4 linked regions of the Rattus norvegicus genome follow. The protein of the gene in region 1 purifies or fractionates together with the protein of each later gene. This does not show direct contact. Links are inferred from orthologs where the notes say so. Each region holds a gene or a part of one and is shown on either strand. Other genes may lie near its edges.

What was found.
Region 2: the proteins of Ppp2r1a (region 1) and Fgfr1op2 purify together in Homo sapiens (affinity purification with mass spectrometry; 5 studies listed by BioGRID and IntAct, with this or other methods). This does not show direct contact. The link is inferred for Rattus norvegicus from reciprocal best matches to the Homo sapiens genes PPP2R1A and FGFR1OP2.
Region 3: the proteins of Ppp2r1a (region 1) and Eif4a1 purify together in Homo sapiens (tandem affinity purification; 3 studies listed by BioGRID and IntAct, with this or other methods). This does not show direct contact. The link is inferred for Rattus norvegicus from reciprocal best matches to the Homo sapiens genes PPP2R1A and EIF4A1.
Region 4: the proteins of Ppp2r1a (region 1) and Pabir1 purify together in Homo sapiens (affinity purification with mass spectrometry; 4 studies listed by BioGRID and IntAct, counting the BioPlex papers as one, with this or other methods). This does not show direct contact. The link is inferred for Rattus norvegicus from reciprocal best matches to the Homo sapiens genes PPP2R1A and PABIR1.

What each region holds. Positions count from the first base shown.
Region 1 is NC_086019.1:69,223,185-69,226,700, forward strand, and holds part of Ppp2r1a (serine/threonine-protein phosphatase 2A 65 kDa regulatory subunit A alpha isoform), read left to right. Parts: intron 1-1,346; coding exon 1,347-1,461; intron 1,462-1,566; coding exon 1,567-1,637; intron 1,638-2,055; coding exon 2,056-2,190; intron 2,191-3,516. UniProt on the Homo sapiens protein: The PR65 subunit of protein phosphatase 2A serves as a scaffolding molecule to coordinate the assembly of the catalytic subunit and a variable regulatory B subunit.
Region 2 is NC_086022.1:181,221,113-181,225,099, forward strand, and holds the start of Fgfr1op2 (FGFR1 oncogene partner 2 homolog), read left to right. Parts: upstream 1-1,185; 5' UTR 1,186-1,502; intron 1,503-3,987. UniProt on the Homo sapiens protein: May be involved in wound healing pathway.
Region 3 is NC_086028.1:54,882,591-54,885,616, reverse strand, and holds the end of Eif4a1 (eukaryotic initiation factor 4A-I), read left to right. Parts: intron 1-188; coding exon 189-357; intron 358-438; exon of another isoform or gene 439-580; intron 581-678; coding exon 679-788; intron 789-878; coding exon 879-1,022; intron 1,023-1,098; coding exon 1,099-1,236; intron 1,237-1,321; coding exon 1,322-1,411; intron 1,412-1,451; exon of another isoform or gene 1,452-1,594; intron 1,595-1,653; coding exon 1,654-1,733; intron 1,734-1,844; coding exon 1,845-1,989; 3' UTR 1,990-2,524; downstream 2,525-3,026. UniProt on the Homo sapiens protein: ATP-dependent RNA helicase which is a subunit of the eIF4F complex involved in cap recognition and is required for mRNA binding to ribosome.
Region 4 is NC_086019.1:231,540,909-231,544,065, forward strand, and holds Pabir1 (P2R1A-PPP2R2A-interacting phosphatase regulator 1), read right to left. Parts: upstream 1,810-3,157; 5' UTR 1,748-1,809; coding exon 887-1,747; 3' UTR 503-886; downstream 1-502. UniProt on the Homo sapiens protein: Acts as an inhibitor of serine/threonine-protein phosphatase 2A (PP2A) activity. Inhibits PP2A activity by blocking the substrate binding site on PPP2R2A and the active site of PPP2CA.

The DNA of each region.
Region 1 (3,516 bases):
GTAATAGTTGTCATCAACCACATGTTAGTCAGATCAGGGACAAGTGCTCTTTGTGCCAAGATCCAAATTTTCTTAGCCAAGAGCATGTTGGTTTGTTGTTGTTTTTCCCCTTGTTAATACTGAGAGTTGAACCCAGTTCTTAACCCATGTTAGGCAAGTGCTCTACTGTTGTTGCAATATTCGCAGGTCCATAGTTATGTCCTTTTGTTTGTTTGTTTGTTTGTTATTAGCACTACCTTTGGTAGAGGTTCTGGAGTCAGTTATGTGTACACATTCCTGGCCTTGAAGGAGCAGGCTAAAAGTCAGCCTCACTAGAAAGTGCTGATGGGAGCTAGAGAGATGGCTTAGCGGTTAAGAGCACTGACTGCTCTTCCAGAGGTCCTGAGTTCATTCTCAGCAATGGTGGCTCACAACCTACTGTAATGCAGTCACATGCCCTCTTCTTAAATAAATCTTTTAAAAAATATTAGTTCTAATGGAGTATGTTATGTCTTGTTCTGTGTGCTTGATGGCATTGCAATTGAGTGGCAGTTAGATAAGAAATATGTCAGAACAAAAAGACAAGCCCGTGCAGAGTATGTAGGAGATAAGAGACAGAGTAAAGCAGGAGCATTCATGGCCTGATGCTGAGATTAAGTGAGCAAAGGGGCAGGAATGATGGACAAGAGCTCCTCATTGTGATGGTTAGTTTTCTGGGGTCTGCTAGAAGACTCATCCCTAAGGATTGTATTCCTGGGTCTAGTAAAGTAGTTTGAGACCTGGCCATGTAGAAGTATGTGTACCTGGGAGGCGTAGTACCAAGTAAAGGCAAGTCAGGCTTCTGATCTGCAAGGGAAGCAGGCTTAATTCTTTGAGTAGTAGAGAGTCATCCTGCTCCCAACTGTTCTTCCAGCAACCTAGTTGAAGCTGTCTGTTCTAGATCCTTTTCCTACATCCTTGTTACTGGCATGTGTTTCCTTCTTCACTGTTTTTAATCATTTTAATCATTTTACTTTTGAAAATTATACCAACCAGTTTAGTAAACTGTTAAGTATGTTTACATATTTTCATGTTAGTGAAAGCAGGAACCACTTAACAGTGTTTAGGGAATGGGAAATTCAACCTCAAAGAACCTGAACAATAAATGTAAAACATACTGTGGAGGATGTCCTGTAACCATCGTTCTATTTCTGAAGATGTCATCAGAGAGGTGACAACTTCACTGATTGGTCATGTCTTTATGCTGGGACTATGTCCCTTGTGCTGTGTCCTAACCTCATTCTAGTGCTTTCTTCTCCATTTTTGCCTCTTTAGCCCTGAGTGGCTGCCACACTCTTCAGTTCTGCTCCTCTTCTCTTTGTGTACAGCTCCAGAAAGCAGTTGGGCCTGAGATCACTAAGACAGATCTGGTGCCTGCCTTCCAGAACCTGATGAAAGACTGTGAGGCCGAGGTGAGGGCCGCAGCCTCCCACAAGGTCAAAGGTTGGTGCTGGCAACCAGAACACAACTAGTTGGGTGGCTTTCTAAGAGGCACAAATGGGCTCAGAGCATCAAGTCTCACCAGCACCTTCCTGTCCCTGCCCACAGAGTTCTGTGAAAATCTCTCAGCTGACTGCCGGGAGAATGTGATCATGACCCAGATCTTGCCCTGCATCAAGGTAATAGAGTAGTGTTTGATGGTAGGATTTGAGACTGCTAGAGATGGGTGAAGACTTTGTTTTAGGTACAGTCTGATCCAAGCCAGGTTTTCAGTCCTTTTGGGATGTAGTAACTGAGCTGTAGACAAAATCTGAGGGTTGCTGCTGACCCTAAGGTCTAAGGGATGTATTTGCTGCTCCAAGACCAGAGTCCCCTTATGAACAGAGTTTTTGGAGAATGAGGCAGTGACCCTGGGTTGGGGTTCACATAACAAACAATCCCTGTTGAGAATAAATCCAGTGCAGCCCTGTGATGCCCCACATATGTGAAAAGCAGAAGACTGTGGTCTTCTTGGGCCATCGGGGCTACTATCTATGTGACCAGTTGCAATTAAAGGGGATTTCTGACCTTTGTTACCTCCTTCATTCTTTTCTGAAGGAACTCGTGTCCGATGCCAACCAACATGTCAAGTCAGCACTGGCTTCAGTCATCATGGGCCTCTCTCCCATTCTGGGCAAAGACAATACCATCGAACACCTCTTGCCCCTGTTCTTGGCTCAGCTGAAGGATGAGGTAAGAGTGGCAGAAAGGTTTGCAGAATCAATCAATTATCCAAGAGTATAAAATTTTGGCATCACACTCCACACTCCCTGCTTTGCTGAGTAGATGACAGGCATTCATGTCTGCTTGTTCATTCATTCTTCTCAGACATTGCTTCAAGTTCCCTTAATTTTGCACTCATCTGTCTCCTGAGTATTTAGGACATGAACAAAGACCAAGACAGTGGTGATCTTTAAGGACTTACAAATGTGCCAGTAGAGAGGAACAGAGAGATAAAGTGTTCCATAATTCCACTCAGAAATTGTAGGTACTGGGAGAGGTGGGCCACGGTTTAAAGCTTTAGGTGACATAGAGACTAGAATACAGTAACATCTAGTCAGTTATGATTATTCCTCTCACATCATTCCAGCTGGCCCTATTGTGACAGATTAGCCTTGCTGGCCTGGCTTTCTTGGTCTGATGCCACAGCTGTAATTTGTCTCCTGGCCCACTGAAGGTCCCATTGAAATAGCTCTAGCTTGTGTCTTCTACATGCTCTGTTGGCCATAGCCAGTCTGGTCACCATACTTGCTTGTGCAAGTGGCTTTAGACTATGGAGAATGAAAGAAGTCACTGGTAAGAGTTTAGAGAATTGGATTTGAACCTGTAGGCAAGTGCTGCAGCTGCAAGAGATCTTTCTGTTAGGAAAGTATAGCCAGTGGTAGGGAGAGAGAAGAGAGATGGCCAGAGGTCCTGGGAAGCCAGACTAGTGTGATGCTGTCCACTGACAGTCTTTAATGGAGCTTGTTGGTAGATTACACAGTGGCTAATTCTGTGATGGTGAATGCAGATTTGTCCCCTTTCCCAGACTGGGTCAAAGATGCTTCATAGGCTGTTTGTACTCAAGAAGTCTTTCTTAAAAATGGTGTGTGAAGTCAGTTGAAAGGTTTTAACATTGATAGCTCTGGATTTAGTTTCTAGCACCACAAGAAAAAAATAAGGCTCTTGGGTCTGCATTTTCAGTTTTCCGGAGAAGTTTCTCTTCATAGCCAATGTGCGGCTGCTCCACATGTCTGTTCCCATAGATGTCCCTGCCCTATGGAATGAGTGTGAATGGATACATTGGAGTTCATAATACCTCTAGTCAGAGATTTGTCACATGCATCTCAAGGTACAGAGTTCCATGTCAGTGGGAAGAAATGAGTGATAGAGAATAAACACAGCATATTCATTCCTTTGTGTTCCAGAAACTGGATACTTCTTTCAGTTTATCCAGTGGTTCCCATTTCCCCTTGCATAGCCTCCGCTACCCTGAGTGAGACTAGGTGGATATTTTGTGTTAAGGGACAATAGCCAGAA
Region 2 (3,987 bases), on another chromosome or scaffold:
TCTTAGGGGCCGAGGAAAATCCACAGGAAAAGACTGACAGCAAAAGTATAACCCCAAATACACACACATCTCCTAAGGTAACTTGCATATTGGGTCTTCCTATGGCCCAAACTCTCATCCTCTCCCTCAACTTGCAATACACTACAGTAATTCACCATGTAGACCAGAACAGATGCTATCTCATGCAGATGAGGAGGAAACACTTCTAAAACTTTTATATATATATATATATATATATATATATATATATATATATATATATATATACACACACACACACACATATATATACATGTATACACACACACACACGTGGTGCACTGCCCCGCTTCGCTCTTAAAATTTTAGAGCAAAAAAAATTTTTTTTTAAAAATCTACATTCTAAAAGCACATGGGAAACAGAGCAAGTGTAACGAAGCATCTTAGGGACCCGCTATTACCTCCGGCTGCTCTGGAGCGCACCGCCTCTCCCCGCCCAAAGTCCCTGTCTGCAACCTTCTGCACACACCTGGCTGCTAGGTAGAGGGGTGGGGGGGGGGGGACAAGGTGAGTGGACGGGAAAGCCCTCGGCGTCGAGGTTCGCTTACTTTCGTGCCTGGTCCTGTAGTGAGCGAACGGAGGCTAAGGGAGAAGGCAGACGAGGGTGGGTGGGGAGTCGGCGCACAGACGGTCTGGTACCACCCGCAGAAGACTGACTGCCCGGCTCATCGCCCAACACTCCGGCTTCTTAAACGCAGGAGCGCGCGCATGCGCGTGCACCCACCAAAGCGCACTCGGGCTCGCGCGTGCGCACGGCGCTCTCGCACAGTCCCGCCATCTTCCCCTTCCCCTTAGAGGCTACCAGAGGCCGAACCGGAAGAGGGCGGAGCAAGTGAGGGGAAAAAAAAGAAGGCTCTAACGATTGTTCCCAATCGACCGTTGGGAAGAATGGTCAGGACCACCTGAGAGAACCCCCAAAGTACTAGCCGCAGCCGGGATAAGCCGGCCTCGGCTCTGCACAGGCAGAGCGCACCCACTCAAGCTCCCCTCTCCGCCTTCAGTCCAGACCGGTAGCCCCTCGGAAAACGCGCGAGAGAGTGCGAGCCGCCAGAGCAAACCCGTGAGAGCAGAAGAGGGAAGCCCCGCCCCCTACCCATCCACCAATCAACAGCCAGCCGCCTGCAGGGGGCGGGGCTTTCGGTAACTCGCGGAGGGAAGTCTCGCGAGGCTTGTCGCTGTGTGGCTGCCAGTAGCGGAGGTTCTGGTCCGCCCGGGATGGAGCCGAGGCAAGCGGGCTGCCGGATCCTCCCTGCCGCTGTGTGAGCAGGGCTGTGTGTCCGCTCGCTGAGCAGGCGCAGCGAGGCCGCGGAGAGCACTCTCTGGGCGCCTCCATCTCGCGGGTGGTGGTCGCCGTCTCTGACGGCTGAGGGGGACTGAAGCTGAGTGGAAAAACACGAGTGGGTGAACCTCTGAGCCGGGCTCCCTGTCTCCGTGCTCTCACTGAGCTCCTGCCGGGAACAGAGGTACGGAAAGTTCCATGAAAACCCCCGGGCCTGCAGGCCACGGGACACCCTTTCCGGGTTTCCTTTCCTGCCACTCCGGAGCTCCGTGGGCGGTGGCTGGAGGGACTTGTCGGTGTTGAGTTTGCCTCAGCGCACTCGACCGCGTTTGCGACTGGGACTTAGCCACGATCCTGAGGGAGCTGCTGAGATCGTTTGAATCCCTCAGCGCCCTTCCAAATTCTGTTCCAAGTTGGAACAACTGGCTTCCCTCAGACAGATGTTTCAGAAGCTCCAAGTGTGTGCTTTCCACCATTTTCAGGAACAGTGCAGTTCCTCTGCTTCCAGAGTGATGAGTGGGGGCTGGATGCTTATTTGTGTGTGTGATCCGCACGCATTCTTTCTTTATCCCATTCTTTGAAAGACTCATGCCGTATATTGCCACTGTCATCTTTGACAAGAGTGAGGACCCTGTCTCTTTTCTTCCGGTCCCTGATCGTAGTACCGTCCCCCTTTCCAGAACACGGACCTCAGAATTGTCTAAGGCTCTGTATTCCACTCACACTGCACCAGATTTTTTGCTTCTTTCACTGTGACTATGACAGTTGCCCTTCCTCCACCCCAAACCGGTGTGCCCGCCTCAGCCTTCCATACTTACTGTGAAATGCATTCTCTCTCCTTAAACTTTTTCAAGTTCTAATTTAAGCCTACCGATCCGTCAGGGCTTTTTACCGTCCTATCTTAAATCATATTTTACCTCTTCAGGGCCATCCTGTTGCCGCCCCTAATTTTTTACCATCCACTTATGCCCGGCTGTTGGGGGTTTCCCAAGCATACCTCACATTTCCGCCACTGCTGTGTGAACCCAGATAGTCTGTTGGGATGCTTGGTTTTCCTTCTGTCTCATCGTCTCTCAAAACCCTACGTCTTTTTAGACTCCCTCGGGTGACATCGATAACACAGTGAACTCCCAGAGCTCTTGACATAATTCCGCAGTATTTATTAGGATGCATTATTTGTTCAGTTACCTGTCTCTCCTGCCAGCTTGAACTTGAATCTGGAATCGTGTCTTACTCATGTTTAAAACAAATGCTAGTTCAGTGTTGGCTCATAGCAAGCATTATTATTATATACTATTTATAATGTAATCATTCTAAAGAATTTGCTATAAAAATTCTGTCTCTTAAAAATCAGAATATTAGAACCCAAAAGCCCTTACCTGCTTTGAGCATGAACATGAGCAGCCTTGTAACCCTAACACTTATGTAATTAATTGTACTTTTGCTCTTAGTGGATGGAGATTGTATATAATATCAAATGCACATGCATGCACATACCCTATGCATTCAAATGATTTTATATTATGTTAGTATCATGTTTAACAACTAGGATCTTATGGGATGCAAATGTTTTTGATAGTGCTCAGCATAAGAAAAATTCCAACTCTTGGCCATATGTTAGAAATAACTGGCTTGGGTTAGGTTAGTTCTTTTTGGGATTGTTAATTTGAACACACAACATAGCCACAATTTTAGGGAGTGTATAAATTGGTCTTGATTCAATGTGCTCTTTCTCTCAAATTGTGTTCCTTTCAACTTTAAGAATTGATTTTCTTCATAAAGCTCCAAGTATATTAATATTCAAGGACAGTAGGAATTTTCTGTACTTTCAAATAGTGTATGTGCTGAACAAGATGCTCATTTTTATATGTTCTTTATAAACATTTTGTTTGTTTGTTTATGGGTGGTTGTTGGAGGCTCTACATAGTCCTAGCTGTCCTAGAACTCACTAGGTAGACCAGTCTGGCCTTAAGTTCACAGATAAATCAACTGGCTCTGCCTCCCTAGTGCTGGGATTAAAAGTATATACTCCCATAACTGGCTATATACATTCTTGATCTCTTAAAATATTTCTCTAAGGACTTGAAACACATTTTTATGTTGCTATTTTCATGTGCCAGTTAATATAATATTATTGCATATTTAATAACACTAGAAGTACCAACCTGAGCAGTAACAATTTAAATTTTTGACATCTAAAAACATGTCATATCATACCATGTTTTTGTATCTCCAGAAATTGGATGATTAGTAGATTTGCTAATAAAAGAAACAAGAATTACTTGAATTTCTTTAGATTTTTCTTAACTAAAAGCTAAAAAGTATCCAGCTGGCAATTGCTGCTGTGGGTAGGTGGTGGTTTCTCTTTAATGAGCAGCAGAATGTTCTGGACCATCTGTAAGAATCTGACTGCAGATGTCTTAGTGGTAGAGTGGGTGAAAATGTGGCTAAGCAGGAAGCAAAAGAAGAAAGAAAACTTGTTTCTTAAAGGCATACCTCTGTAATTTGAGCCTACCTGTTTAAAATAATTTAAGAGTATTATGACTAGTTAAGACAAAACTGAAAAAATAGGTAAATAAATTGAAAGTATTCCTTTTTTAAATTGGATTCACTTTTTTACTGTGTAACAAAATGTGGAAAATATCTCTCCCACTTTACTAGTCAAAAAG
Region 3 (3,026 bases), on another chromosome or scaffold:
AAACTTACTGTGAACCTGTGTGGACGGATCCAGCATTGCCATTTGGTGGCGGTATTGGTGGTGTTGGAAGAGGATTAAGTGGATTCCTGTTTCTCAGTTGCTAAGAGTGGGATAATTCCTGTCTGTAATAAGAAAGACTTAACTCACTGGTACTGCCCAAGTTAATGTAGATGCCTTTCTACATTTAGATTCAAAAGGTGGTTATGGCACTGGGAGACTACATGGGTGCCTCTTGTCATGCCTGTATTGGGGGCACCAACGTGCGTGCTGAGGTGCAGAAGCTGCAAATGGAAGCTCCCCATATCATCGTGGGCACCCCTGGCCGGGTGTTCGATATGCTTAACCGGAGATACCTGTGTGAGTGCCATGGAACAGTTGTTGGGCTCTTTTCTACATTTCATTTCCTTGGATGAGTTTTCCTTTAGTTGGAATTGAGTTGCTCTGTGATGAACCCCATGCGTGTCATCTGAGCCTGGCTTCCCTGTTAACCTTAGCCCAGGTAGTGTTCTACTTACCAGGGCTTTTGCATGACCTATCAGGGAAGCCGAGGGCAAAGGATCAGTCCTTGCATTCTGAGAGCAGACTGTCTGCCTTCTGCCTGCCTTATCAAGAGACCTCAATATATTTCACATTTGTCTGATTACTATATGTTGGGGTTTTTTTTTTCCTGCCATCTAGCACCCAAATACATCAAGATGTTCGTCCTGGATGAAGCAGATGAAATGCTAAGCCGTGGGTTCAAGGATCAGATCTATGATATATTCCAAAAGCTCAACAGCAACACACAGGTAAAACAGATGGTGTTGGAGGGACGGTGGCTCGGTTGTGATTTGATTGTACAGTGCACTCAATCATGGCTGGGGCATTTTTCCCACTAGGTAGTTTTGCTGTCTGCCACAATGCCTTCTGATGTCCTTGAGGTGACTAAGAAGTTCATGAGAGACCCTATTCGGATTCTTGTCAAGAAGGAAGAGTTGACCCTGGAGGGTATCCGCCAATTCTACATCAATGTGGAACGAGAGGTGGGGCCCAGTGCAGGAGGCGGGCCTGGTAATAAGTGTTGGGTATAGCTCCTGATTGATGTTTCCTGATCTCCAGGAGTGGAAGCTCGACACATTGTGTGACTTGTATGAAACACTGACCATCACCCAGGCAGTAATCTTTATTAATACCAGAAGGAAGGTGGACTGGCTCACTGAGAAGATGCATGCCCGGGATTTCACAGTTTCTGCCATGGTGAGTTTTCTCAGTCTTGTTAATGATAGATGTGTCTTTGTGTGTTAGGAGCCTTATGCTAGCTGCTCCTAACCTTGTTTTCCAGCATGGAGATATGGACCAAAAGGAACGAGACGTGATCATGAGGGAGTTCCGGTCTGGCTCTAGCAGAGTATTAATTACCACTGACCTGTTGGTGAGTAGATGCTCTTTTAAGGAAAGAAAGGGAGAAAATAGCCCAAGGTGATTCCCTCTCCAAAGGGCTGACTATGTGCCCTTTTTAGGAACGTAGCAACTTGGAAGAAAGCCAGGCATGTCCAAGGTCTCTGGGGAACAAGGAATACTTGTTTCCTTTGCCCTCCTTTGGCAGCCTACATATATGCTTACTAAATTAGGGTTGATAGTGTCCTCTGATGGCTTTATTCTTTCTTGACCTAGGCCAGAGGCATTGATGTGCAGCAGGTCTCCCTAGTCATCAATTATGACCTTCCCACCAACAGGGAAAACTACATCCACAGGTATTTACCTGGTCTGACAGATCAAACACTCCCTGTGCTTAAAAAAAAAAAAACACGTTCCTTTCCCCAACCTAACGCCTTTTTAAACTAACCTCCCCCCCCCCCCCCCAGAATTGGTCGAGGTGGTCGGTTTGGCCGGAAAGGTGTGGCTATTAACATGGTGACAGAAGAAGACAAGAGGACTCTTCGAGACATTGAGACTTTCTACAACACCTCCATTGAAGAGATGCCCCTCAACGTTGCTGACCTCATTTGAGGGGCTGTCCTGCTACCTGGCCCTAGCCCAGGGTTCAGTCCTGGGGGCAGGGCTGAGGAACAGCTGGAGGGGGGAGGGAAGGGAGCCAAGGGATGGACATCTTGTTTTTGTTTTTTTGTTTTGTTTTTTTTTTCTCTCTCTCTCTCTCTTTGAATAAATGTCACTTTTTGAGGCAAAAAGAAGGAACCGTGAACATTTTAGACACCCTTTTCTTTGGGGTAGGCTCTGCCCCAGGCGCCGTCTCCTTCCCCCCCAAACACTAATGCATTTCCCTAACCTAATCACCTCATTCCTAAAGGCTTTCCTACCCCAGCCAAATCTCCAAAAGTGAGTCAAGGGGCTAAAACATGGCTGGCCTCATTTGCTGGACCAAATCTACAGGGAGAACCCCCTGAATGAGGTTGTCCAGGGACTTGTCCCCAGGTGAGGGGAGCAGGGGAGAGAAAATGGTAGCCATTTTTACATTGTTTTGTATAGTATTTATTGATTCAGGAAACAAACACAAAATTCTGAATAAAATTACTTGGAAACTGCCTGTTTGGGCTTCTTGTTTCTTCCCTTCCCTCTCCTGCAGTTACTAGTGTGGTTCAGCTGCCCCTGCACTAGTTCTTTCCTGAATTTGCCATGTTGCTTCCTGAAATACCAAATGACCCACACTACTGAAATTTGGTAGTGGGCTTTAGCACAAGACACAAGTGTCACTTGCTCCCAGTTTTGAAAAAGTAGTAATGGGTTCAAAGACTTCAACTGGGTGTTAGTCATAACCCAAATGTGGGTGCTAATTACCTTGGGTTCTGTAGCCCTTGCTGTCCTGCGGTTATATAGGCCAAACTGGCCTTTTGGGTCTGCTTGCTGCCTTACAGTGCTGGGATTGAAGCACATGGGTGAGGGTGAATTTCTTACCAATGAGGAAAAGGCTTCCTGTTTGCCTGCTTTGTAAACTGCCAAGTAGAGCAAGTTTTGGCTTAGGTAAGTTCCGTGTGAGTCAACTGCCTCATCCTCACATGGTAACTAAGACTACCGCCCACTGAGAAGGC
Region 4 (3,157 bases), about 160 Mb from region 1:
AGGATTGAGAGAGCATCATCTGTCTGGGTGTTTTCCCACACATTTACATTTCACAAATGTTAAATTTGAAATGGTAGCAAGAGCCTTGCCTTCGCTTGTCTAATGTGAGCTAAGACTACAAGGCACTGTCCCATTGCATGTTTAGGATTATACCCAAAAGAATGCACTTTCTGGTTAAAAATGTTTTCAAAAAGAAATTTCATTTTTGTAGTTATATTAGTGTGATTTACTAGAGTTACTATGAAAATTGTTAGAAAATGTCCTTATTTACTTTCATATACTTAATTTTAAAATATTTGCTGCAAAGTGTTATTTCTCCTTTTGTCGTTTTTCCCTCCCACCCACCTTTCTGCCTAGGACATTAAATATCAAGGGCTCCTGGGTAAACTAGACAACCAGTGGACTGATATCACTAACATTATTTTAGCTGTAAGAAGGTAAGTTCTTCAGTAGATGGAAAATAGCAACCATTGAAAAACACCAAAAATTAGTGTGCCATGAATTATGGAATTTTAAAACATCAGTTTACTAAACTGAAATTCAACATTTATATTTTCATCAGAACTTAATAATCCCATAAATAAATAGAGCTCTCAATTATTTAAAAAAATCAAGGGATAACATATGTATTTAGACATATTAGCAGCGTAAAATGTATGCTTCAACACACTTATTGATAAAAAGTCCGAAAATATTACTACACTGAATTCAAGGGCATCCGCAGGAACCTGACATAGAAATTCTCTAGAATAACATTTCAGGAATTTCCAAAAAGAGGGAAGAGTCAAATAGGAAACAGCTTCAACGTAATCGACAAAGTTCAGTGCTTGCTCTAACTTGATTTTTTTGTCTCTCCATTGGGGGAGGGGGATTCAAGACGAGTGAGTCACTTTGAGGAAAGTTCATCTACTGGAATAAAGGGGGAGGCTGCTTGGGCAGGCGACACAGGAGAGTCGGTGGTAGTGCTGACTTTCGCTGGTGAATTACAGGAAGATCCGGCACTGCTGCTGTTTCCATCCAGGGTATCAGAAGATACACACACTCCGGGCTCTGACAGCTGTGCAACGTCAGAAGAAAGCATGTTGGTGATGCCCTGGAAAAATCTCTTTGGCTGATAATCAGTTTCCATTTCACATTTTCTTTTCAATGGTCCAAGAACACTTGGTCTAATGCAGTTGATGGGACTCTGGCTTCTCCGGGTAGTAAACCGGGTGGTTGGGCTGGGAATAGGACTTGGAGGCAATCCGTTGCTACTCACAAAACTTTGCAAGGACGGTGAAAAACACTGCTTCCCAATTCCCCGGGTGGGTGACGGTGCTGGAGACACCGGAATGAAATCGATGCGCTTTGGAGAGGCGGATTTCTCCACGTCGTTGTCACTCAGGCTGAAACTTTCCTCCCAGGAGTGGCTTATCTGCATTGCGGTCTGCACCTCGCGCTCGTGGACCGTCTCTCGGTTGATCAGGTCCATGCCCTCCTCTTGTTTGATCTGGTGCAGGCGGCTGCTGTGCATTCGGACCGGCGAGGCCGGGAGCAGCAGGCCGTGGCGGCTCGGGAACGTCGTGCTGTTCCTCCTGGCGCTAGGCGCCTCGGCCTGGAACACCGGCGAGGAGTCGCTGAGGCCGTGGATGAGGGGGGCGCTGTTAGACCTCCGGAGGCCCCCGCTGCCCGGGCCGCCGCCTTCCGCTGGGCTAGCGCCCGTGCCCGCGGGCAGCTCCAGGTCCAGTTCCATCTTCTCCTGAGCCATGTCGCGGCAGGGAGGCGGGGGCGGTGCTCAGTCAGGGCCCTGGGACTCCCATTCCCCGCGGCCCAAGGCCGCCGCCGCCGCCGCCTTCGAGAATCTGTCAGAGGGCTCACGCCTCTGCGCATGCGTGTCCCTTCGCGCAGGCGTCCTGACACGCTCGTTCTTGAGGCGCCAGCTTAATGCGTCATTGCTGTGGCGCCGCGGCGGGGAAGGGGCGAGCAGTGGTTGGGCGACTCCTCTGTTCGTTCCTTCCGCAAATAATCACTGGGCGCGGGCTCGCGGGAAGGCTGGTTAGAGAGGCCGGGGCGCTCAGAAGTATATGTTTATGAAGCAAGTATGAGCTCAGAAAGATAGTCCCTTGGTGATGTGGGGCTTCATGATGGAGCACGGTCTAGCCTGGGTGGGCTTCCCGAGGGATGGAGCACAGGCTTCTGAAGTCTAAAGGAGGCAACAGCGGCGCTTTGTAAAACTGTCCTGAAAGCGGGAAACCTCTGCTGCCCAGCTAGGTGGCAGATGGGAACCAGTAGAAGAGAGTTGTTAGCCTGATGGTGGACAAGAATAGGTTCTGGTCTTTCTTGAGAACAATAAAAACTCCCAGGCGTTCTCAAAGAAGGATAGAAGGGTACAGTAGCAGCTGAACTATTGGAGCCTTAGGCTGAGATCTGAAGAATAAGACATGGGAGTAGAACCCACAGGGAAAAGGCCAAAGAGGAGGGTAATTTACCCCAGGGCTGAATCTGGGAGGGGAAAGGGAGAGAATAGTAGACTTAAGGTGATTGGGAGGAAGAAGCTTTGTGACATTTTTTTAAAGTTGTCATATTTCTGCTGCTAACCATTTACTTACTCATGCTCACTCGGTATGGGAATTCAATGAAAGAAAAAAAATGCACACATTTAAAGAATAACAGGTTTTGGTTTATGTAATTAATACAAAACTTTGTATCTCATTAAATAGAATTGTATTTGTTCATTTATTCAGTCAACTCTCCTATCCGGGCACACCTACTTACTGTATTAGGAAATGAGACTTGTGTGAGGTCATTCACTTGCTACTGGATGGGAGTGGGGATTGACAAAATAGGAGACTTTTGGTGTTAAGTGTTTGGGAGAAAAGTGGGATGGTGTGGTCTAGCACTACTGATGGAAGTTAAGGGACAATTGGGCAGAGTTAAGTTGTAAGTTACAAATCCTGTGGACTGCAGAAGGTGGGGGCAGGACCAAGCGTTCCAACCAATGCTTAAGGGCCAACAGACCCACTGGCTTGGCGACGAACAGGAAAGAAAAAGCAAGATGGAGACAGTGATCTTGGAGGGCAAAGGACTGAGCACCTAGTCCTTTGATGAGAAGACACTGAGCAGTGTTAGGCAAGGGAATAATAGGCTTGTGCTTTGTTCATCTGTTATGGTTTGAGAT